Linked DNA regions of Arabidopsis thaliana. The protein of the gene in region 1 interacts with the protein of each later gene in a pairwise test. Each region holds a gene or a part of one and is shown in the gene's direction. Other genes may lie near its edges.

Region 1 (4,963 bases):
AAGAAAGCTGTTCCTGACAGACTTAATAGCATTCATAAGCTTAATTCAACTCCTGCTTCTGCTCATAACTCTAATCCAAATCTTGAGGAGCTACAGACGTCTCTTCTTTCTAAAGCAACATCACTATCCGAAACTGCATTGAAAGTTCTTCTTTGCAAACGAGATAAACTGGTAATAACTGTAGAATTTGATCAAAGATACACAACACAGCAAAAAAACTGATTGGCAATAGCATATATATCCTTATTTTATGATTAAGAGCTGCTCTCTTTTTCTCTGGCTGCAGACTCGTCAACAGAGGAACATAGAAGACGAGATTGCTAAATGTGATAAATGCATCCAGAACATCAAAGGTATGTATATATACATATACTTTTCCTTTCTGCACAGCTTTGTTTTTACATGAATCTTAGTGATCTCGTGGGTGTTATAGGTGATTGGGAGCTGCAATTAGAAACAGTACTCGAGTGCTGTAACGAGACATACCCGAGGCGTAACCTTCAAGAATCTCTTGACAAGTCAGCATGCCAAAGCAACAAGAGGCTGAAGCTCAGTGAAACTCTTCCTTCTACTAAAAGTCTGTGTCAGGTTAGTTTATGGTTACTTTAATCATTTCTTGTTCAAAGAATTAAGATTCATTGCCCCTATTTATTGCAGAGACTCGATGATATCTGTCTCATGAATAACTGGGTACTACCAAACTATCGTGTGGCTCCATCAGATGGTAAAGTTTTGAGATCATTTGCCAAACTCGTAGTTCAGCTCCATTACTCCCTTCAGATTTGCATGTTGATGTTGATGCTTTGTTCAAAAAGGTGGATATGAAGCTGAAGTAAGAATCACGGGGAATCATGTCGCATGTACAATACATGGAGAGGAAAAGTCTGATGCTGAGGAAGCTAGGGAATCTGCGGCAGCTTGCTTGCTAACAAAGTTACAACACGACACAGCAGCCAACTTATCATGATTATGTGAGATTCAAGAACAACTCAGAAACCAAACTAACTTCCAGCATGAGTAGAAAACAACCCTGATTTTGATATGTATGGCCATTTTGGACGAATAGCAAGATTTGTACAAAACTCCATCCTCTGGTTGAGATTTTGAGATATATTACAAGAAGTCAAAGGTATTAACTGATGCAGAAACTAAAGTAGAACCAGAATCATGTTAAAAACCTAATCCTAAGCCTCCTGCATTTAAAACAATCCTAGAAACTCAAAAACCCAACAAAGTGCTAAAGAGGGATGAAAGAAATCCTAGTAAAAAAAAACCCTAATATTGTTAACTAGACCAAAAACCTCAACAATGGCCTGAAAGATTAGACCAATATGAATCTCAACAGACACAAGAAACTTGTCAACAACGAAAATAGGAGCTATACTGTCTCATGGCAAAACAGAGGACTCCATCGCACCTAAAGGCCCAAAGACAGATGTCGTCGCGAGCTTTCAGTTCATTAGAGGGTTATTGGGTTTAAGTGGTCTCTGTTGGGCCCAATGGTTGGCCCAATATTTATTGATTTGGATTCTGATTATCCCGGGGGTGATTTCAGTCATCGTCTCGATCAATCTTCAACTCTCAAATTGAAGTTTCCATGGGAGGCCACGAAGGTTTCAGCAACCAACGCCTCTCCTCCGCCACATGGTTCTCTCATTTCCGTGCTTCAGCTCTCCGATCTAAATCACTGCCCCCTCCGTCCTCGCAGACTGCCGTTCGCTCCACCTCTGGCGACTCTCTGGTTCGTCGCCTCGGCCTTTTCGACCTCATACTGTTGGGCGTCGGCGCTTCCATCGGCGCCGGTGTCTTCGTCGTCACCGGAACCGTCGCTCGCGATGCTGGACCTGGTCAGTTGAATGAATTACTTTTTCTCACCACCTCCTTGATTCGTTCAGAATCGCTTAGTGATTATTGCTGCCGTTGCGTGCCTAGGAGTCACAATCAGCTTCTTGCTAGCTGGAGCATCGTGTGTGTTGAACGCTCTCTGTTATGCTGAACTTTCATCTCGTTTCCCTGCTGTTGTTGGTGGAGCTTACATGTACTCTTACTCAGCTTTCAATGAGATCACAGCTTTTCTTGTTTTCGTTCAACTCATGCTTGACTATCATATTGGCGCCGCTAGTATCTCCCGTAGCTTGGCCAGCTATGCTGTTGCTCTTCTTGAGCTTTTTCCAGCCCTCAAGGGCTCTATTCCTCTCTGGATGGGAAGCGGCAAAGAGCTCTTGGGAGGGCTTCTCTCTTTGAATATTTTGGCTCCCATTTTACTTGCTCTCTTGACCCTTGTTCTATGCCAAGGTGTGCGAGAATCTTCCGCTGTCAACTCCGTTATGACTGCTACTAAGGTAAGCTTCTTTCCTTTTAACCTTCTCTTCTTATCTTTACCAAAAAAAACTCTTCTTCACTATATTGTTTCTTCTGTAGGTCGTGATCGTTCTCGTTGTGATTTGTGCCGGTGCTTTTGAAATTGATGTAGCAAATTGGTCTCCTTTTGCGCCTAATGGTTTTAAAGCAGTTCTCACTGGAGCTACTGTTGTCTTCTTTTCATATGTTGGATTTGATGCAGTTGCTAATTCTGCTGAAGAATCGAAGAACCCTCAGGTCTGCCTATATATATGTTGAATGTACATACTATCTACAAAGTCTCTTATGTCTGTTTAATTCTTGTTCAGCGCGATTTGCCAATCGGAATTATGGGGAGCCTTCTGGTTTGTATCTCGCTGTATATTGGCGTATGTTTGGTGCTCACCGGGATGGTCCCTTTTAGCCTCCTCAGCGAAGATGCTCCTTTAGCTGAAGCCTTTTCATCAAAGGGTATGAAGTTCGTCTCAATCTTAATCAGTATTGGTGCTGTTGCTGGACTCACAACTACTCTGCTTGTTGGTCTTTATGTTCAGGTGATAATATATATATATGTATTTCTTTTGTAATTTCTTTTATTATGTACTTGTATATTATGCAAACCAAGGTAACACTCTTGAGTAATCATATGATATTTCGGATAAACAGTCCAGGTTATATCTGGGACTTGGAAGGGATGGTCTATTGCCTTCAATCTTTTCCAGAATACACCCAACTCTTCATACACCTCTTCATTCTCAAATCTGGTGCGGCATTGTAGCTGGCGTTTTAGCTGGCATATTTAATGTACATAGTCTTTCCCATATTCTGTCTGTTGGTACATTGGTACGTCAAGGTCTTAATTTTAAATATCTCTTTGCTTTTCTTATTGATACTTATACTTTCCAGTTTAACATTATTTTCGGTGTTCCATTTCTTCAGACTGGGTATTCAGTTGTTGCGGCTTGTGTTGTGGCATTGAGACTGAATGATAAAAAAGATAGAGAGTCGTCCAATAGATGGACATCAAGTTGGCAGGAAGGCGTCATTTGCCTTGTTATAATTGCATGCAGTGGTTTTGGTGCTGGCGTATTTTACCGTTTCAGTGCTTCAGTTATATTTATTCTCCTCTCAGTTGGTGTGGCAGTTGTTGCTTCAGCAGTTCTTCATTATCGCCAAGTAAGTAGCCTTAAGTATAAGCCTTAATTCCATAGCACACTCTTCTTAATTTCATAGCGCCAAAAAAAATAAAATAAAAAAACCAAGTTTCACCCCTGTTAAAATGCTAGATACTAAGTCTTTTACTGATACAGCATAAAATAGAGACCACCACTAGCATGTTCTGGCACTTAGAACTCTACAGTGATACTATGAAAGTCTGTGACTATTGAAGTCTTTGCATTCTTGGTTTAGAGGAGAAGTTTGTTAACATCAATTAGGAAATATACCCTCATGGTTGTCTCCACAAATCAGGCAAATGCCTTGCTAGCTATGCTTCATGTTAAACCCCTCAGCTTTTCGCTTCCAGGCTTATGCTCTGCCTCTAGGTTCTGGGTTTAGCTGTCCTGGTGTACCCATTGTGCCATCCGTTTGCATTTTCTTCAACATCTTCTTATTTGCTCAGGTACACGCTAAGAACTAACTTTATACTAATTTCACATACCATATGATCTACCTTTGATTTTTCCGCTACTGTGCAGTTGCATTATGAAGCATGGATAAGATTTGTTGTTGTCAGTGTGCTTGCAACTGCCGTTTATGCCTTGTATGGGCAGTACCACGCAGATCCGAGCATGTTGGATTATCAGAGGGCACCTGAAACTGAAAGCGACGCTTAGTAATGCTACATTATAGTTGTGTTACTTAAAGCCATTTGTAGAGTTGATAGCAAGTTTCTGCGTTTCGTGAGAGACATACTGTATGTCACATACATATTCAGGTCGAGTTTAAGGATTGGATGGGATAAGGCAGTTAAACATTATTGTTGTAAAGAAGTTAATAAAAGTATGCTTGTGCATTTCAACTAAAGCCTTGAATGACTGAAAATGGCTTTTGTGCTACCAAATAATCCCAGAAGCTAGCAATGTTCACATAAACATACTCAATGTTAGAGTTATTCAACGGATCATAGTATAGAATCAGAAACAACAAGCTTACTAATAACAGACATCCAAACCCTCTAGCATTGTAGTAAGACCAAAACCCTCTAGAATTGCCCCAACTTAGCCGGCTGTACAAATGAAGATCAATCTCCACAGAGACAAGAAGCTTAGCAGAGACGGCGAGCATTGGAAGAGCTACTCTGTCTCAATGTAAGAGGAGGAACAAGAGCAAAACAGAGGATTCCACGCCACCTGAAAGACCAAAGACTGATGTCTTTCTGATTTACCCCTCTCGGTGACACCACACGCCTCTTGGGGCTCGTGGTCTCCCGTTAGACACAAAGATGGAGTCTTCTTGGACTCGGCAATGTAGTTTTGAAGAAGGTTAAAGAAAAAGGCGATGAAGAAGAAGTGGAAGCCCCATTAAGATTTTGTTGTGAATGAAAACTGAAAAGAGTGACTTTGTTGTTTTATATAGTTCGTTAATCCGTTCTGATTTACTTCGTTTTCCTCTTATAATAACT
Region 2 (6,468 bases), on another chromosome or scaffold:
CTTTAATTCCAAAATAAGTGGATAGCTCTATATGAAATTTGGCCCTACTTTATTTGACATGACCTTTTAAATATTTGAAAAGCCATGAGACAATTTATTTAATTTTCATAACCGTGATAATAAAAACAATTTGTTTGTAAGAACAATTACATAACAACATTTATCTAAATTATGAGTCTCGTCGGCGGTATGTAAAATATGTTAATATTATCCTTTTTCTATGTAATAGAATAATAGATTATCTTTCTTGGTTGGCACTAAATTGCACGTTAAATACTTGAAAACTTTGTATGTTGAAATAGTAATCCAATTTTAACGAAACTTTTTATTTTGTAAAGATTTTGATGGGCTTTTTAAAACAATTTCTACGACGTGGACAGACTTTGGAGTTTGTATGATTAATTAGATTCAGATCCTCACGTAGATTGAATAAACAATAACTCAATAATTGATCCTTCTCAAATTTTAATAAAATAAAAACATTTTTTAATAATAAAATAACAACATTACAAAATACCAAAATATGTAGGGTAATAGTTTTTGCTAATATAGTTATTATATTATTACTAAAATATAAATTCACATGTTAATATTTGTTGTTGACAAAAACAAAAACAATGATATTACAAAAAAACAAATAGGGTGATTAAACGCTAGAAGATCCGTAACCATTTTGATGACAAAAAGATATGGTACTAAGATGAACACGTTTTTGAGAATATTCAAAACAAATTCATTTCCGAAAGATTATCAATTTTCAAGCATACAGTATGATCTGGTAAACTATAAATGGTAGAACCACGATAATTAACTAGTCGATTCTATATGTTATGACATAGACTTAGCTAGGAGCATATCCGGCAGACCGGCACTAATCTAATGATTTCATGAGTTGTTATTATCTAAACTAATTAACAATTAATAGAATGAAATATAGTTTTATATTTAAGTTTTTTTTTTTTTTTTTTTTTTTTTCGGAATATCAGGAGGTTCTGGGCCGAAACCCGTAATCCCTTCAGGCCTGAAACCACAACATGTAATATTAGTTTCGTCCCAAACATCACTCGAACTAACGACCTCTAAGTTTCGCCTAGGATCTTTACCAATTGAGGTAACAACGCTTGGTCAAGTTTAAATCATTGTTGCTTTCTGTGAGATTTTGATCCCTATAACCTAATTTATCTTATGAGAAATTAACCTTTTTTGATAAAGGATAAGGAAAATAGTAACCTTGTATAAAAAAATTCATTGCCATTTTCATATATATATATATATATATATATATATCCTAAAATGTATATCTCTAATAAAATTAGAAGAAATGATACCAAAAATAAAGGTGAAATCATGATAAAATTTTGTTTTTTTTTGTTTTGGTTCATTGAGTTTGCCATTAACGCTTTTTTTTTATAAATAATTTCGTCTACACAAATTCATCCATATAATATTTTCTTTTACTGCATCAGAGTTTCACTATGTATTTAGGTTTTTTATGAATTTTAAAAAAGTTCAGCATCAAGGTGAAGAAAATTCCAAAAAAATAAATAAAACGGTGACCCAAAAAAAACTTGTTGTCTTCAAAACCAAAAGTACTCGACAAATCAAATAGATAAATCATGAATCTTAGTACAGTCAGGTTTTATCGTCTACGATAAGTTCCACAATAAATCCAAACACTAAACTGTTCAGATCTCAGATAGTAACTTTAAATCAACGGCTATAAATTCGCCATTTGTACTTTCATTTACACAACAGAGAATAATACATACACTCTATCTCTCTCCTATTCGTAACTTATATTTCTCTCTCTACTGTGTTTAGAAATTGGAATCTTCTCTCTTCTCTATCTCCCTCTCTCTTAAAAAGGGACCGTACACGTCTCTCTCTATTTCCAGTAAAAAATCGAAATTTCGTATAATTTCCTCAGTCCCGTAATTTTCTCCTTTTTTTTCTTCCCCAATTCCTTCAATTTTCGAATTCGCCTCTCTGTTTCGTTCCTCGTAGACGAAGAAGAAGAAGAATCTCAGGTTTTAGCTTTCGAAGCTTCCAAAATTTTGAATTTTGATCTTCTGGGCTCTTTTGTAAATCAGACTGAAGATATTTAGATTACCCAGAAGTTGTTCAAGGTAAAGCAATTCAGATCAGATCCACCAATTTTTTTTTTTTTTTTCATTTGAAGTTTTTGTGTTTGTTGTTTGTTGTTGGGAGATATTTGAAATCTGGGTTATTAAAGTTCCGACCTAATTTCATATTGTGCTATTACCAAAAATAGGAAATTTTGAGAATTTGGTTTTATGTTGTCATCATTTAATAATATTAGCCTTTTGTGGGATTTGTGCTTTTTGTTGTTTGTATCAAAAGTCTCAGATTTGGATTCACTTTTTGTGTGTTTTTTATAGTCAAAGCTGATTCATGCTATACATTACACAGCTTCACTGTTTAGTCTCAGCTCTGTTTTCTTGAAAACAGGAATGGTTTCAGTGGACAGCACGGAAAGATAAAAGAGACTTTTTTTTCCAGATTTTGCTGATCCAAAATCTGAATAGTTGTTCATGTTCTTGGATCAAATCTGGAAAGAGGAAGTTTGTTGGATCTAGAAGAAGATAACAATGTTGGATTCTCTAGTGTCGAAACTGCCTTCGTTATCGACATCTGATCACGCTTCTGTGGTTGCGTTGAATCTCTTTGTTGCACTTCTTTGTGCTTGTATTGTTCTTGGTCATCTTTTGGAAGAGAATAGATGGATGAACGAATCCATCACCGCCTTGTTGATTGTAAGTTCACTCAATTGAAAAGAGTAATTACTGAGTTCCAACTTGAATGACATTTGAGCTATTTGGTTGCAGGGGCTAGGCACTGGTGTTACCATTTTGTTGATTAGTAAAGGAAAAAGCTCGCATCTTCTCGTCTTTAGTGAAGATCTTTTCTTCATATATCTTTTGCCACCCATTATATTCAATGCAGGGTCAGTCTTTTTTTTTACATCCATTTGAGCCTTTTCCTCTATGTTGGGATATATCTTTTAATGTAGGACTTAGTTTGGTAGGGTCTCATGCTATATGATACGTTTAGTTGCACGGGTTTTACCTACAAAAGTTACATAAAACAGATTGAAAGAAAAAACTTAGTTTTGAAAAGTATGCATTATGTGATTCTAGGTGATAAAGTTAGTACAACGCTTTAAAGATGTTGATTAGTAAGCTTAAGCTCTACTTCTATAAATACCTGTCATACATCAACTTTTTCTAGTACTTGTGATTGTTATAAAGAAAAGAGGGCATGATGTCTTTTTTTGAAGTAGTTAGATTTATACACGTGCAAGTAAGTGTGGTCCTGGATTTGTCTTTGTCATGGATCTTTCTCAGATTTGTTGTTGTCTATTTCAGGTTTCAAGTAAAAAAGAAGCAGTTTTTCCGCAATTTCGTGACTATTATGCTTTTTGGTGCTGTTGGGACTATTATTTCTTGCACAATCATATCTCTAGGTAGGTTACTTCGCTTTACGATTGGCTGAAACACCGCTGAATGCGGCTTTTTGGATTAGGTCGAGATAGTTTTGTATATCTCTACTGATTTTCTGGTGGTTCTTGAAACAGGTGTAACACAGTTCTTTAAGAAGTTGGACATTGGAACCTTTGACTTGGGTGATTATCTTGGTAAGGCCTGAACTAATGGCTTCTTTTTGGTTCCTATTGCTTTACTTAATCGGGAGACTTGATTTGTTTTTGGTGTTTGAATCTCAGCTATTGGTGCCATATTTGCTGCAACAGATTCAGTATGTACACTGCAGGTAATGTGTTTTCTCCAACATGACTTAAATTACTTACAAACCCTGAAACATAGTGGACCGAAAGTTTCTGTTCCTGTTGTGTTGTGATATAGGTTCTGAATCAAGACGAGACACCTTTGCTTTACAGTCTTGTATTCGGAGAGGGTGTTGTGAATGATGCAACGTCAGTTGTGGTCTTCAACGCGATTCAGAGCTTTGATCTCACTCACCTAAACCACGAAGCTGCTTTTCATCTTCTTGGAAACTTCTTGTATTTGTTTCTCCTAAGTACCTTGCTTGGTGCTGCAGTAAGTCCATTGTTTTCTTCCCTGCCATTCTTTCTTGTAGCTGCTATATGCACGCTCTGGTGTTCACATCTTTGTTATTCATCTTGCAGACCGGTCTGATAAGTGCGTATGTTATCAAGAAGCTATACTTTGGAAGGTACATATTTAACGTCATATATGTGACTTGTTTTCTTTAAGTTGTTTCCTGTTTGGTCTAACGTAGATGGCCTCACATTAATTGTCACAGGCACTCAACTGACCGAGAGGTTGCCCTTATGATGCTTATGGCGTATCTTTCTTATATGCTTGCTGAGGTTAGATTCTTTTAAATAACACGAACATATTCATTCAGTTGCATTCAAACACAAATTATATTGATGTTATATTAATTTGGTTGCAGCTTTTCGACTTGAGCGGTATCCTCACTGTGTTTTTCTGTGGTATTGTGATGTCCCATTACACATGGCACAATGTAACGGAGAGCTCAAGAATAACAACAAAGTATGCAAACTTTAGTTTCTCCGCCTTTTGCTGAGATTAACACTTTCTACCTCCCAATGATTATCTTATGATTTTTTTCGATGAAACAGGCATACCTTTGCAACTTTGTCATTTCTTGCGGAGACATTTATTTTCTTGTATGTTGGAATGGATGCCTTGGACATTGACAAGTGGAGATCCGTGAGTGACACACCGGGAACATCGATCGCAGTGAGCTCAATCCTAATGGGTCTGGTCATGGTTGGAAGAGCAGCGTTCGTCTTTCCGTTATCGTTTCTATCTAACTTAGCCAAGAAGAATCAAAGCGAGAAAATCAACTTTAACATGCAGGTATGTATCATTCTACTTGGTACTAATAGATTCAATAATTCTTCTGGATTTCAGCTATTTATATCTATCATTTTTTCCCATTCTTTAGGTTGTGATTTGGTGGTCTGGTCTCATGAGAGGTGCTGTATCTATGGCTCTTGCATACAACAAGGTATAAAAAGAATGTCTTTAAATACTCTCTATGAAGCTTCAAATGACACAAATCATCATTTAACACTTGTTTCTATTGTAGTTTACAAGGGCCGGGCACACAGATGTACGCGGGAATGCAATCATGATCACGAGTACGATAACTGTCTGTCTTTTTAGCACAGTGGTAAGAAATCTCTGGATGATCAAATGAGTTACATAATATTTCTTAATTGAATTGGACATTTGGTTAATAGATTCTCTTGAACCTTGTTTTCAGGTGTTTGGTATGCTGACCAAACCACTCATAAGCTACCTATTACCGCACCAGAACGCCACCACGAGCATGTTATCTGATGACAACACCCCAAAATCCATACATATCCCTTTGTTGGACCAAGACTCGTTCATTGAGCCTTCAGGGAACCACAATGTGCCTCGGCCTGACAGTATACGTGGCTTCTTGACACGGCCCACTCGAACCGTGCATTACTACTGGAGACAATTTGATGACTCCTTCATGCGACCCGTCTTTGGAGGTCGTGGCTTTGTACCCTTTGTTCCAGGTTCTCCAACTGAGAGAAACCCTCCTGATCTTAGTAAGGCTTGAGGGTAACGTGGAAGAAAAGCTTTGATTTTTTTTGGTAGAAAAGGGTGATTCAAATTATGCTTTTGTGTAAATTATCCATTTGTAATATTGTTTGTGAGGACAGAAATCTGTCCTAACGTTTTGAGAGCAGAAAGCAAAACATGGCAACTTTGAAGTGTTTGATTGATGTATGTAATTATATTCATATTTGTTTTGTTGTAACACAAACTACACATTTGTTTATGTTTTGAATTTGGTTTTTGCTTCGAACTTGAGGATCGGATTGGTACGGTTTGGTTCGATTTCGGACAAAAATATTAATAAAGAATTATTTCTTTATGTCAAAACAAAAATTTAGTGAACCTAATGGCTAATGATATCAAAATTTGGTAGGTCTTGAAACTTATAATCTAACTAGATTTTAACCCGCGGTATACCGCGGGAACAATTTATTTTTTAAAGTTAGTATATATAAAAGTTTACAAATTGTATCTATTTATAAAATAATTTTATTTTATAGTTTACAAATGTTATTAAGTAACATCCTGCCAAACCCGTCCTGTAAAAAAGAAAACCATTTATTTTATTAATGTTGATCTTATTTATGATATGTTTATGAATCATTGTCTAAATATTTTGTAATTTTGTAGTAATTAAATGCTATCAGATTATATCTCTTCGCTTTGATGATTATAATCGAATTGTTATAGTTATGGAGAAAAGCAATATCAAAAATGATAATTTTGTAGTAATTAAATGATATTAAATATTTTAGAAGTATTATTTTAGTAAATAATCGTGTAGTTAATGTGGAGAGATTTTGGGAAGATTGTTAAATGTCAAATATTTAATTCGAAGATTTTC
Region 3 (5,087 bases), 1.5 Mb from region 1:
TTGGAACACCCAGCCAGAGCCAGCGAGGGAGCTCTGTTGTTGCCAAGCCGCATCCACGTAGCAGAGAAAATCATGAGTCAGAGTTGTTGTGGAGTTTGGGCGGGGGGTCGCTACACGAACTTTTGGGAGCGCCAATTGGGCGGATTGCCACGCTAAGGCATCCTGAACCGCCTTTGTAACAGTCTCTATCACAGAGAAATGAGAATTTTGGAAGATAAGCTGATTTCTGGCTTTCCAGATGTGCCAACAGATCCAGGGGAAGAGGGTTGCTGTATGAATCCCAACCGGGGGGAGAACGATGGTTTTCTTAAGTAAGTTAAGAGCTTCCAAAATAGGGGTACCGATAGGGATGTGACCCAATTGGAGGGGCGCTAGGTTCCAAACTTGTGCCGCAAAATCACAGTGAAACAGCATGTGGGTGGAAGTCTCCGGAGCCCCACAGCGTGCACAATCCCAAGTTGATGATATATGCCTTCTTACGAGTTGTGCACCCACAGGGAGAGCTCCTGCAGCCGCCTTCCATAGGAAAAGTTTGATCTTCGGCATAGTGTGGAGTTTCCAAAGGTTTGCTTGCCAGTTAAAGCGGACCTGAGCTGTTGGTAGCACTGTCAAGGATGTTACCCCGTAACCTGATCTTGAGGTATACTCTCCAGATTTTACCGGTAACCAGACCAATTTATCCACACCCCTACTTGAGGGCACAGGGAGCTGTCTGATGAGCTGTTCATAGTCAGGTAGGAGGTCAACGTACCGTACTTTAATGGTGTAATATGCGACATTTATTATGTGTCATTTTAGATATCTGATTCTGTCTCGACAATTGGGATGGGCATTTTATGGATATAGTTAGAATGGGATTTTATTCGAAGGAATATTTTGTGGATATATTTTAAAATAATCCACTAAAAAATCAGGTTTATGTTGGTCAAAATCCATATTTAATACGACAAAATACAACATTGAATTCATTAATTGTGCACAAATTACGGATTGTGAGATAAGACTATAAGAGTGAAAGAAACGATAAGAAGTAATGAAGACTCAAAATCGTACATAATTGAAATTAGTGAAATTTATGGTTTGGTTTACATGTTTTTGTAAACCGTTAAAATAGTAGTAAAATATAATACAAACATGTAAATCCACATAATTTTGTATTTGATGCGATACTAATAACAAAATGTTGTAGATATATCATAATATTTAGTTGATACAACAATATATATATATAGATTCACATCAATACATCATTATAACTCAATGTTAATGATTTAATTTCCCGATTAATGAATCATGTGCATGTGAGGATTTGAGAAGATAAATGAGCAAGATAGAAGAGAGGATATAGCTATGCAAGAGGCCAAGATCTGAAGGAAATATCTCTCTGTTTTACTCATCTAATTTTAATCAGTTACCTAATTTCGATTATTCGTAGTGTCGTTAATGTAGGTAAATCCTCTTTTCAACATGCGGACCAATTTTTGTTTCCGGAATAAGCAATAGTGGTTACACATTCAAAATCAAAGTCAAAAGAAATAAATCCTCGTAATAGAAGATTCTCTTAATAAATAAGATTCAACGTACAAAGATGCTCTTTCCATATAAACATCGATATTTGTGTATATAATACATGTAAGTACGTGATTGTGAGGGAGTACTCTAATAAGACGACCTCTGTCAATAACTCTCTTCCCCTCTCTTCTCTCCTCTGGTTCAGTGGTTCTCTCACAATGATGGACGCATACAACAATCCCTCGGCGGTGGAGTCGGGTGACGCCGCCGTGAAAAGCGTCGACGACGATGGTCGAGAGAAGAGAACGGGAACATTTTGGACGGCGAGTGCGCACATAATCACGGCGGTCATAGGCTCAGGGGTGCTGTCGTTGGCTTGGGCTATAGCACAGCTTGGTTGGGTGGCAGGAACCACAGTTTTGGTCGCTTTCGCCATCATTACTTACTACACGTCCACCTTGCTCGCCGACTGTTACCGTTCGCCGGACTCCATCACCGGAACACGCAACTATAATTACATGGGCGTCGTCCGATCTTACCTTGGTATGGATTCATATAAACAAATTCATTTTGTGTCTTTATCAGCATTGTTTTTCACAGATTTTTCAGTTTTCTAGACATTTTTTCTCAGATGAACAAGGATTTTGTTCATTTGATATCATTTAGATTTTGCCTAACTAGTCTCAATTTAGGACATGTGTTTTGATTTTCTTCCATTTCTGTCACAATGATGATGGCTGGCGAAAGAAAAAAAATCTGATCTAAAAATATATATTTAATGCTAAGTTGGAATTTGTAAATCTACAGTATAATTGGCTCATTTCAACAATTTTTTACCATGTAAATTTGTTGAAGAACATTATTGTTGTTGAACAATGAAAGAAAAAAATATGGTTGTTAGAAAAAAATGATTTACGATTTTGCCAAGTGTGCATGCTCTTTCATGGGAAGATATGAATTAATTATCAAAATCTATATAAAAAAAAGGAAGATAATCTTCATTCTTTCATAACTTAGTTAATAAATTAAATTGATTAGGATTGGTAACATAGTCAATTCAATTTATCCCGTTAAAGAATGTTATAAATTCGATTGTTGACCCCTCGTTGAAAATTTGGAATTATGCGGGATGTTTAGAAACTTTGCCATAAGACCAAAAGATTGGTAGTATTTGATAGTAGTACAAGAGTAATCATTTTTCTTCTTTAATAACATAAAACGCAGGTGGTAAAAAGGTTCAGCTATGTGGAGTGGCACAGTACGTGAATCTCGTAGGGGTCACTATTGGTTACACCATCACTGCCTCCATAAGCTTAGTGTAAGTCAAAGATTCTGATTTATTTCGATTATTTTGTTATGGTTATACTAACATGTTGTTCTGAATAAAATTACTAATAATTGTTTGATTGGTGTTTTTGTACGTCTTCGTTAGAGCGATTGGGAAATCAAATTGTTATCATGACAAGGGACATAAAGCGAAATGTTCTGTATCGAATTATCCATACATGGCGGCATTTGGGATCGTCCAGATCATTCTGAGCCAGCTTCCTAACTTCCACAAGCTCTCTTTCCTATCCATCATCGCCGCGGTTATGTCCTTCTCTTATGCGTCTATCGGAATAGGCCTAGCCATCGCTACTGTAGCAAGTACATTCCCCTTCTTTATCTTAAAACATAGTGGTTTATATGGATGATTCTTCAAAGTTGACACTAACCGTGAAAATGGTATACAATATATATGAAAGGTGGGAAGATTGGTAAGACAGAATTGACAGGGACAGTGATAGGTGTGGACGTAACTGCGTCTGAAAAAGTTTGGAAATTGTTTCAAGCGATTGGAGACATTGCCTTTTCATACGCTTTTACCACTATTCTCATCGAGATTCAGGCATGTACTACTGATTCCTACTATCTTCCGTTTACTATTGTTTTCATTTGCTTGTTATTATTAATTTCGCCAAAGAGAGGTAAAATAAGAATACCTTGAAGATAAGATGTTATTATTAATTAGACAGTTAGGAAAAAATATAGATGGATGGATGATGGATAAAAATAGTTTCATATTTTAGATATGTGAAGCTCTAAAGATAGTGACGCTCTAGTAGTATGTCTTGTTTATTTTGCAGGACACATTGAGATCAAGCCCACCAGAGAACAAAGTGATGAAACGAGCAAGTCTTGTCGGAGTCTCAACCACAACTGTTTTCTACATCTTGTGTGGTTGCATCGGATATGCTGCGTTCGGCAACCAAGCCCCTGGTGACTTCCTTACCGATTTTGGTTTTTACGAACCTTATTGGCTCATCGACTTTGCCAATGCTTGCATTGCTCTCCATCTAATAGGTGCCTATCAGGTATAACTCACAAACAAAAGAATAGGATAAGTGTGTAACATACATTTACCGTGTTCAAGTTCATTAAAAGTCTCATTATTGTGTTAGAATTTTTAGCTTTAACAATTCAGAAGATTGTAGAAATGGAGTTATTACTAAATATTGTTTCTAAAAAATGCTCTTTTTTTTTTTTTATCCCTGTATTATTCGCAGGTGTATGCGCAGCCGTTTTTCCAGTTTGTTGAGGAAAACTGCAACAAAAAATGGCCTCAAAGCAATTTCATCAACAAAGAATACTCGTCAAAGGTTCCTTTGCTTGGAAAATGTCGTGTCAACCTCTTCAGACTGGTTTGGAGGACATGCTATGTTGTTTTGACAACATTTGTAGCAATGATATTCCCCTTCTTCAATGCGATCTTGGGTTTGCTAGGGGCATTCGCGTTCTGGCCACTCACAGTTTATTTTCCGGTGGCAATGCACATTGCGCAGGCTAAAGTCAAGAAGTATTCTCGTAGATGGTTGGCCTTGAACCTCCTCGTATTGGTTTGCTTGATCGTCTCGGCCCTTGCCGCCGTAGGATCCATCATTGGCTTAATTAATAGTGTCAAGTCATACAAGCCCTTCAAGAATTTAGACTAGTGTGACTTATAATCTATGTTTGCCAAAAAAAAACCTTGTGATCCATATGAATTATATGAAATTTATTTCATGCTAAATATTTAGTACTTAATGTTTCTCCAAATAATGTGACGTTCTGTTTTCAGCTATGTTAAAAACCAAAATGCTAACTTATGTATTAGTACTAAAATTTATGAAAATGTATTAGTTATTGATTTATTTTTAGGACTACAATTATTGAATCAACATTGGATGTTTGAGTCCCATGAGATATGGATTTCAGCTTTTTTCAAATTCGTGTGGTTGTGTCAATTTCGAGTTATTATTATTTATTTTGCTTAATGGAATTGTCGGGGAAATCTTGAAAACAGACACTCACAGATTGTGTAATTTATTTGGTTTGGTGTGTCCTACATAAGTTGCTATCACATCTTATGTATTGGAGGAGTTGGGCAATAGAGGATCAAGGCAAGTTTGGTTTTCTATTAACGTTTCTACTCTGCATTTGCTTACAAAGTCATTTTCAAGGTTTTGTGGTCGTATGTCACTTGATGGCTACCATCATAACCGCCATGTAACCAAACAATTGCCTTGCGGTTACCTACCCATATGGCGCATCTAACC
Region 4 (4,083 bases), 3.7 Mb from region 1:
TACCTACTCCCCCCATACCATAAAGACCCAAAGTTCTTCGTTCATCTTTCATGAGGCTGTTCCATGCCCTTCCGACCATTGCATCCAACCCAACTGTGGTTTGGATATGCTTCTTCTCCACCTTAGGCGCAGGAATTTTCTCTGCCACCACTTCAAAAACTCCTTTAGCTAGAAGTCCTTCCACGTGTTTCAACTTTTTCAGTACATTTATTCCGTAATTGCGGCCAGATATGAAATTCTTAGAACAATATCCACAGAGACATAACCTTTCAGTTTGAATTGATTTAGCTTTCAGCAGATCATTGACTTGAGAACAAACATCTTTAACCCTTGAAAGCCAACCTTGAACTTGAGCAAGCCGTTGCAAACCTTTGTCTTCTTCTATGACAACTCTTCTTAACAGATCATCTCTTCTCTCCTCGAGCTCTTGCATAGTATTCTGCAGAGCCTCGAGATTAGCCTCCATCTTGAGAATGTAATTCCGATCACCAAATAAGCAGCCACAAGCATGATTCAACGTTTGATCACAAGATATTTCTAGTGCTACACAGTTTCCCATCTTACTCAAACTTTCAAATATCAAGACGATGCAGGAAACAACACAAGATAAGGAGCACTGAATGGAGAAGAGGAAAAAGAGTACAATCGTGCCCTCCTGATATTGATTAGAAAATTTAAAAGTCAGACTGCAAGTTCTAATATCTTATTGAAAGTGGCAGCTTCAACGAAAAGTCAAGATGCGTGTTCAGATATCCACAAAATGACATTGACCATCAAACATTAAGAAACTATAAGATAAAGTTTTCTATCCACAAAATGATATTGACCATAAAAAAATATGAAGAGCACAACTATCTTTCAACTTTCAACTAATGTAACACTCTGCTACTGTAATTGTTGCCGTAATTACTCAATTCAAGCTCATCCCTTTCTTCCTCTTCTTCAGTATCATCTCCGATATGTTCGTCAATTGTCCCTCCGCCATAAAAAATCTCCTACTTTCACCAAAAAAAATAGACCTTATTTCTCTTTGGAAAAAGTTCGTAATTCATTAAAGAGCAAACACGAAGAACTAAAGCCATTAACAACTCGAAAAATTGCATAATTTTCCCGAGCACCAACAAGTGAAAACACGATGAAATAGTAATCCACAGATTGAGTTGAGATTGATCAAAAGCAATTCGAGGAATTTCTGAAGAAGCAAACAGAAGGAAACCGAACGAGATCGAAGCAGTGAAGCAAAAGCGTAGTCAAAGCGAAAGAGAATTAGTTACCGGCGGAAGAACAAATTTGAAAGCGACGACGGGCGGCAATCGCTTGAATTGATTGTGAGGGAGTGAGACTTGAGAGTGGAAGTATATCCGAATGGAGCAGTTTGATGAGAGAACCCGGTAAGCTTCTAGGACTCGAGCCATCGAGCCGGGTCTATTTTTACTGGAGAACGATGTCGTTTATGTTAAGGTTTACTATTATCCACGTATCGCTTGCAAGTTTGACTAAATGTGTAGGTCAACTTATATATAAACTTACTGTAGGGTGGAAAACACTGGATTATACCCGCCGAATCTCAGGTCATCGAATTAATTAATTTGTGATTACGCAAAACTGAAAAGCAATTTTCCGTTGAAGGGGTACGCAGAAATTCTGTCTGCGTCTCCGAACCAACTCTATCCTTCTCTCAATCCGATCCGTTCCGTTCACTACTTGTCTCAATTTCGAACCAATTGGATCGCATCTTTTAGGGGCTCAAACCTTTGGTGACGAGGACGAGGAAGAAGATTGTCGCATCTGATTTATATCGGAAAAAGGTCTCTTGCCGGAAAGGACACGATCCGCTTTCATAAAGGAGAGATTTTGACAGATTCAGTAGACGCCATGGATGTGCCTAGCTCTTGGGATGCTTTACGGAAACAGGTATTTTTCTTTTTATAAAATTATTGTGTCGTTTGATTCGAAGCTACTAGGTAATTGTGTTGGGGAAGCTGGTAGTGTCTGAAAATCTGTCTTGAATTTCGAATATTTGAGGTCTGAATTGATATCAATCTTCTGGGTTCGATTCGAATTGGGGAATTTATTGGTTTTGTTGGCTAATTCTCAATGATTTATCTTTTTACTGGATCCAATTGATATTTGAATAAGCTTTGTGTTGTATTGAATCCCACAGGCTAGAAAGATTGAAGCTCAGCTTGACGAGCAGATGCATTCATATCGTAGACTTGTTTCCACAAAGGCTTTATCAAAATCAGATGGTAATGAGAGTGATCTTGAAGCTGGGATTGACTTACTTCTTAGGCAACTGCAACAAGTTAATGCTCAGATGCAAGCATGGGTATCTTCTGGTGGGTCAGAAATGGTCTCCCATACTTTAACTCGACATCAAGAGATCCTTCAAGATCTGACACAGGTACTGTTCCTTTCCTGACTCATACCATTTGAATATTTGCCTTATTCTATAGCTTGTGTTGATTATATACTGATTAGTAATGAAATGAGTGTTATCTTTTTAACCATCTGTTCACACTCTGCTCTTGGACTAGTTTATGACTCAACCTTCGTTGTAAATCAGTCTTGTTCCTGTATGTATGACTCATTCAAAATGCAGGAGTTTTATCGACACCGCTCCAGTCTTAGAGCAAAACAAGAGCATGCTTCACTTCTTGAGGACTTTAGAGAATTTGATCGGACTAGATTAGATTTAGAAGATGGATATGGGTCTGAACAAGCCCTGATCAAGGAACATATGGGAATCAACCGCAATACAGCTCAGGTATATAAACTCTCCTTTGCGATTAACCTTTGTTAGACTCTACAGCTGTAGCGTACAATAGGCCTGGCTTTCTCAAGTTAATCGAACACGTCATGACTTATGTGAGCTGACTATTATATAAACGGTGCAGATGGACGGTGTCATTTCACAAGCTCAGGCAACACTCGGTACGCTTGTGTTTCAACGTTCAACTTTTGGAGGCATCAACTCAAAGCTTAGCAATGTCGCCAGCCGTCTACCTACGGTACGAAGAGCTTTCCTAGTCTTATTTACACACTCTTTTGCTCGTTGCTTTCTTTATGTTCGGTTATGGCCTGTGTTTATCCTATATCTCACCCTGCAATTGGATGGTTAAAACCACTGCAGGTGAACACTATTCTGGCAGCGATAAAGAGGAAAAAGTCGATGGATACAATCATTCTTTCACTCGTTGCGGCTGTATGCACATTTCTCATATTCATTTACTGGATAACCAAGTAGAATTTGCCCATTTCTTTCGTTTCATCTTTATGTTGGGCCACGTCTGGTTTTCCCATGATGTCAATTTGTTCTGCAATTATCGGTGTTCTAGTAAAGAATCTAAAGATCAAAAACATAAATATTGTGTACAGAAAATTTCATCCCTGTCTTTGCAGTCTAGACGAGCTTGTTAAATGTTGAGTTATTTTGGAGATGCCACACATACAGTACAACCATCTGTTTCTCTCATCTTGTAACTTTTTATTTGTGGGAGTATGTTGCTGCATTGAAAAGGGTACATGGCGCCTACATGCAATACGGCTTTAATATAATCATTATCATATATATGCTCGCAACTAATCCATATTAGATTTAAATGTCACATTACCTCTGGAAACTAAGAACCATGCCAATAAAAGTCCATCTAAGCCATATAATCATATATCCAAGGGAACATTCATTGGCTGCTTAAGAATGTGGTCGGCAGAAGATTTTATTTTTGCTCAACATAAGATTTAACAGTCTCCATCCATCTAATATACTCAGCTTTATCTTTGTTCTTCATGTACTGATGCAAGAACTCAGCAAGATCATCACTTATACCTCTTTCCTCCAAAAATCGATAAACCGAGTCTTGAAGTTCATCTTCCATTTCCCTGTAAAATTGAACAAAAGACAGTTTAGTTCCATCGTATCAGAAACAAAAAGAAAATGTTTATGTTTAAAAAAGAAGTGATCAAATCACAGTACTGGAATTCAGGTCCAATATAGGCATTTGGTGAGTTCTGGCTGCTTTTACGAACAAAGAACTTGGTGATCTGTATGGTATCAGGCCAAGCAGAACACATGATCTCTAA

Evidence for each region.
Region 2: the proteins of CAT9 (region 1) and NHX1 interact in a protein complementation assay, tested with the Arabidopsis thaliana proteins (one large-scale study listed by BioGRID).
Region 3: the proteins of CAT9 (region 1) and AAP8 interact in a protein complementation assay, tested with the Arabidopsis thaliana proteins (one large-scale study listed by BioGRID).
Region 4: the proteins of CAT9 (region 1) and GOS11 interact in a protein complementation assay, tested with the Arabidopsis thaliana proteins (one large-scale study listed by BioGRID).

Annotation. Positions count from the first base shown.
Region 1 is NC_003070.9:1,800,577-1,805,539, reverse strand, and holds CAT9 (cationic amino acid transporter 9), read left to right. Parts: upstream 1-1,539; 5' UTR 1,540-1,597; coding exon 1,598-1,847; exon of another isoform or gene 1,848-1,932; coding exon 1,933-2,342; intron 2,343-2,421; coding exon 2,422-2,598; intron 2,599-2,669; coding exon 2,670-2,894; intron 2,895-3,006; coding exon 3,007-3,183; intron 3,184-3,279; coding exon 3,280-3,516; coding exon of another isoform or gene 3,517-3,543; exon of another isoform or gene 3,544-3,865; coding exon 3,866-3,961; coding exon of another isoform or gene 3,962-3,979; exon of another isoform or gene 3,980-4,037; coding exon 4,038-4,175; 3' UTR 4,176-4,430; downstream 4,431-4,963. Other genes in the region: AT1G05950 (uncharacterized protein), read left to right, coding at 1-171, 287-353, 434-588, 658-724, 816-967; AT1G05930 (B3 domain protein (DUF313)), read right to left, coding at 4,607-4,691. UniProt on the Arabidopsis thaliana protein: Permease involved in the transport of the cationic amino acids.
Region 2 is NC_003076.8:9,551,642-9,558,109, forward strand, and holds NHX1 (Na+/H+ exchanger 1), read left to right. Parts: upstream 1-1,658; 5' UTR 1,659-2,126; intron 2,127-2,469; 5' UTR 2,470-2,609; coding exon 2,610-2,774; intron 2,775-2,846; coding exon 2,847-2,965; intron 2,966-3,386; coding exon 3,387-3,484; intron 3,485-3,595; coding exon 3,596-3,655; intron 3,656-3,742; coding exon 3,743-3,789; intron 3,790-3,881; coding exon 3,882-4,076; intron 4,077-4,165; coding exon 4,166-4,212; intron 4,213-4,302; coding exon 4,303-4,369; intron 4,370-4,455; coding exon 4,456-4,556; intron 4,557-4,645; coding exon 4,646-4,886; intron 4,887-4,974; coding exon 4,975-5,037; intron 5,038-5,118; coding exon 5,119-5,202; intron 5,203-5,295; coding exon 5,296-5,625; 3' UTR 5,626-5,953; downstream 5,954-6,468. UniProt on the Arabidopsis thaliana protein: Acts in low affinity electroneutral exchange of protons for cations such as Na(+) or K(+) across membranes. Can also exchange Li(+) and Cs(+) with a lower affinity.
Region 3 is NC_003070.9:3,264,243-3,269,329, forward strand, and holds AAP8 (amino acid permease 8), read left to right. Parts: upstream 1-1,643; 5' UTR 1,644-1,730; coding exon 1,731-2,055; intron 2,056-2,736; coding exon 2,737-2,830; intron 2,831-2,944; coding exon 2,945-3,159; intron 3,160-3,257; coding exon 3,258-3,400; intron 3,401-3,638; coding exon 3,639-3,866; intron 3,867-4,058; coding exon 4,059-4,484; 3' UTR 4,485-4,581; downstream 4,582-5,087. Other genes in the region: AT1G10000 (Ribonuclease H-like superfamily protein), read right to left, coding at 1-546. UniProt on the Arabidopsis thaliana protein: Amino acid-proton symporter. Stereospecific transporter with a broad specificity for glutamate, aspartate and neutral and acidic amino acids.
Region 4 is NC_003070.9:5,457,882-5,461,964, reverse strand, and holds GOS11 (golgi snare 11), read left to right. Parts: upstream 1-1,605; 5' UTR 1,606-1,875; coding exon 1,876-1,914; intron 1,915-2,164; coding exon 2,165-2,404; intron 2,405-2,602; coding exon 2,603-2,767; intron 2,768-2,897; coding exon 2,898-3,011; intron 3,012-3,133; coding exon 3,134-3,247; 3' UTR 3,248-3,567; downstream 3,568-4,083. Other genes in the region: AT1G15890 (Disease resistance protein (CC-NBS-LRR class) family), read right to left, coding at 1-559; AT1G15885 (uncharacterized protein), read right to left, coding at 870-995, 1,275-1,415; AT1G15870 (Mitochondrial glycoprotein family protein), read right to left, coding at 3,720-3,882, 3,977-4,083. UniProt on the Arabidopsis thaliana protein: Involved in transport from the ER to the Golgi apparatus as well as in intra-Golgi transport. It belongs to a super-family of proteins called t-SNAREs or soluble NSF (N-ethylmaleimide-sensitive factor) attachment protein receptor.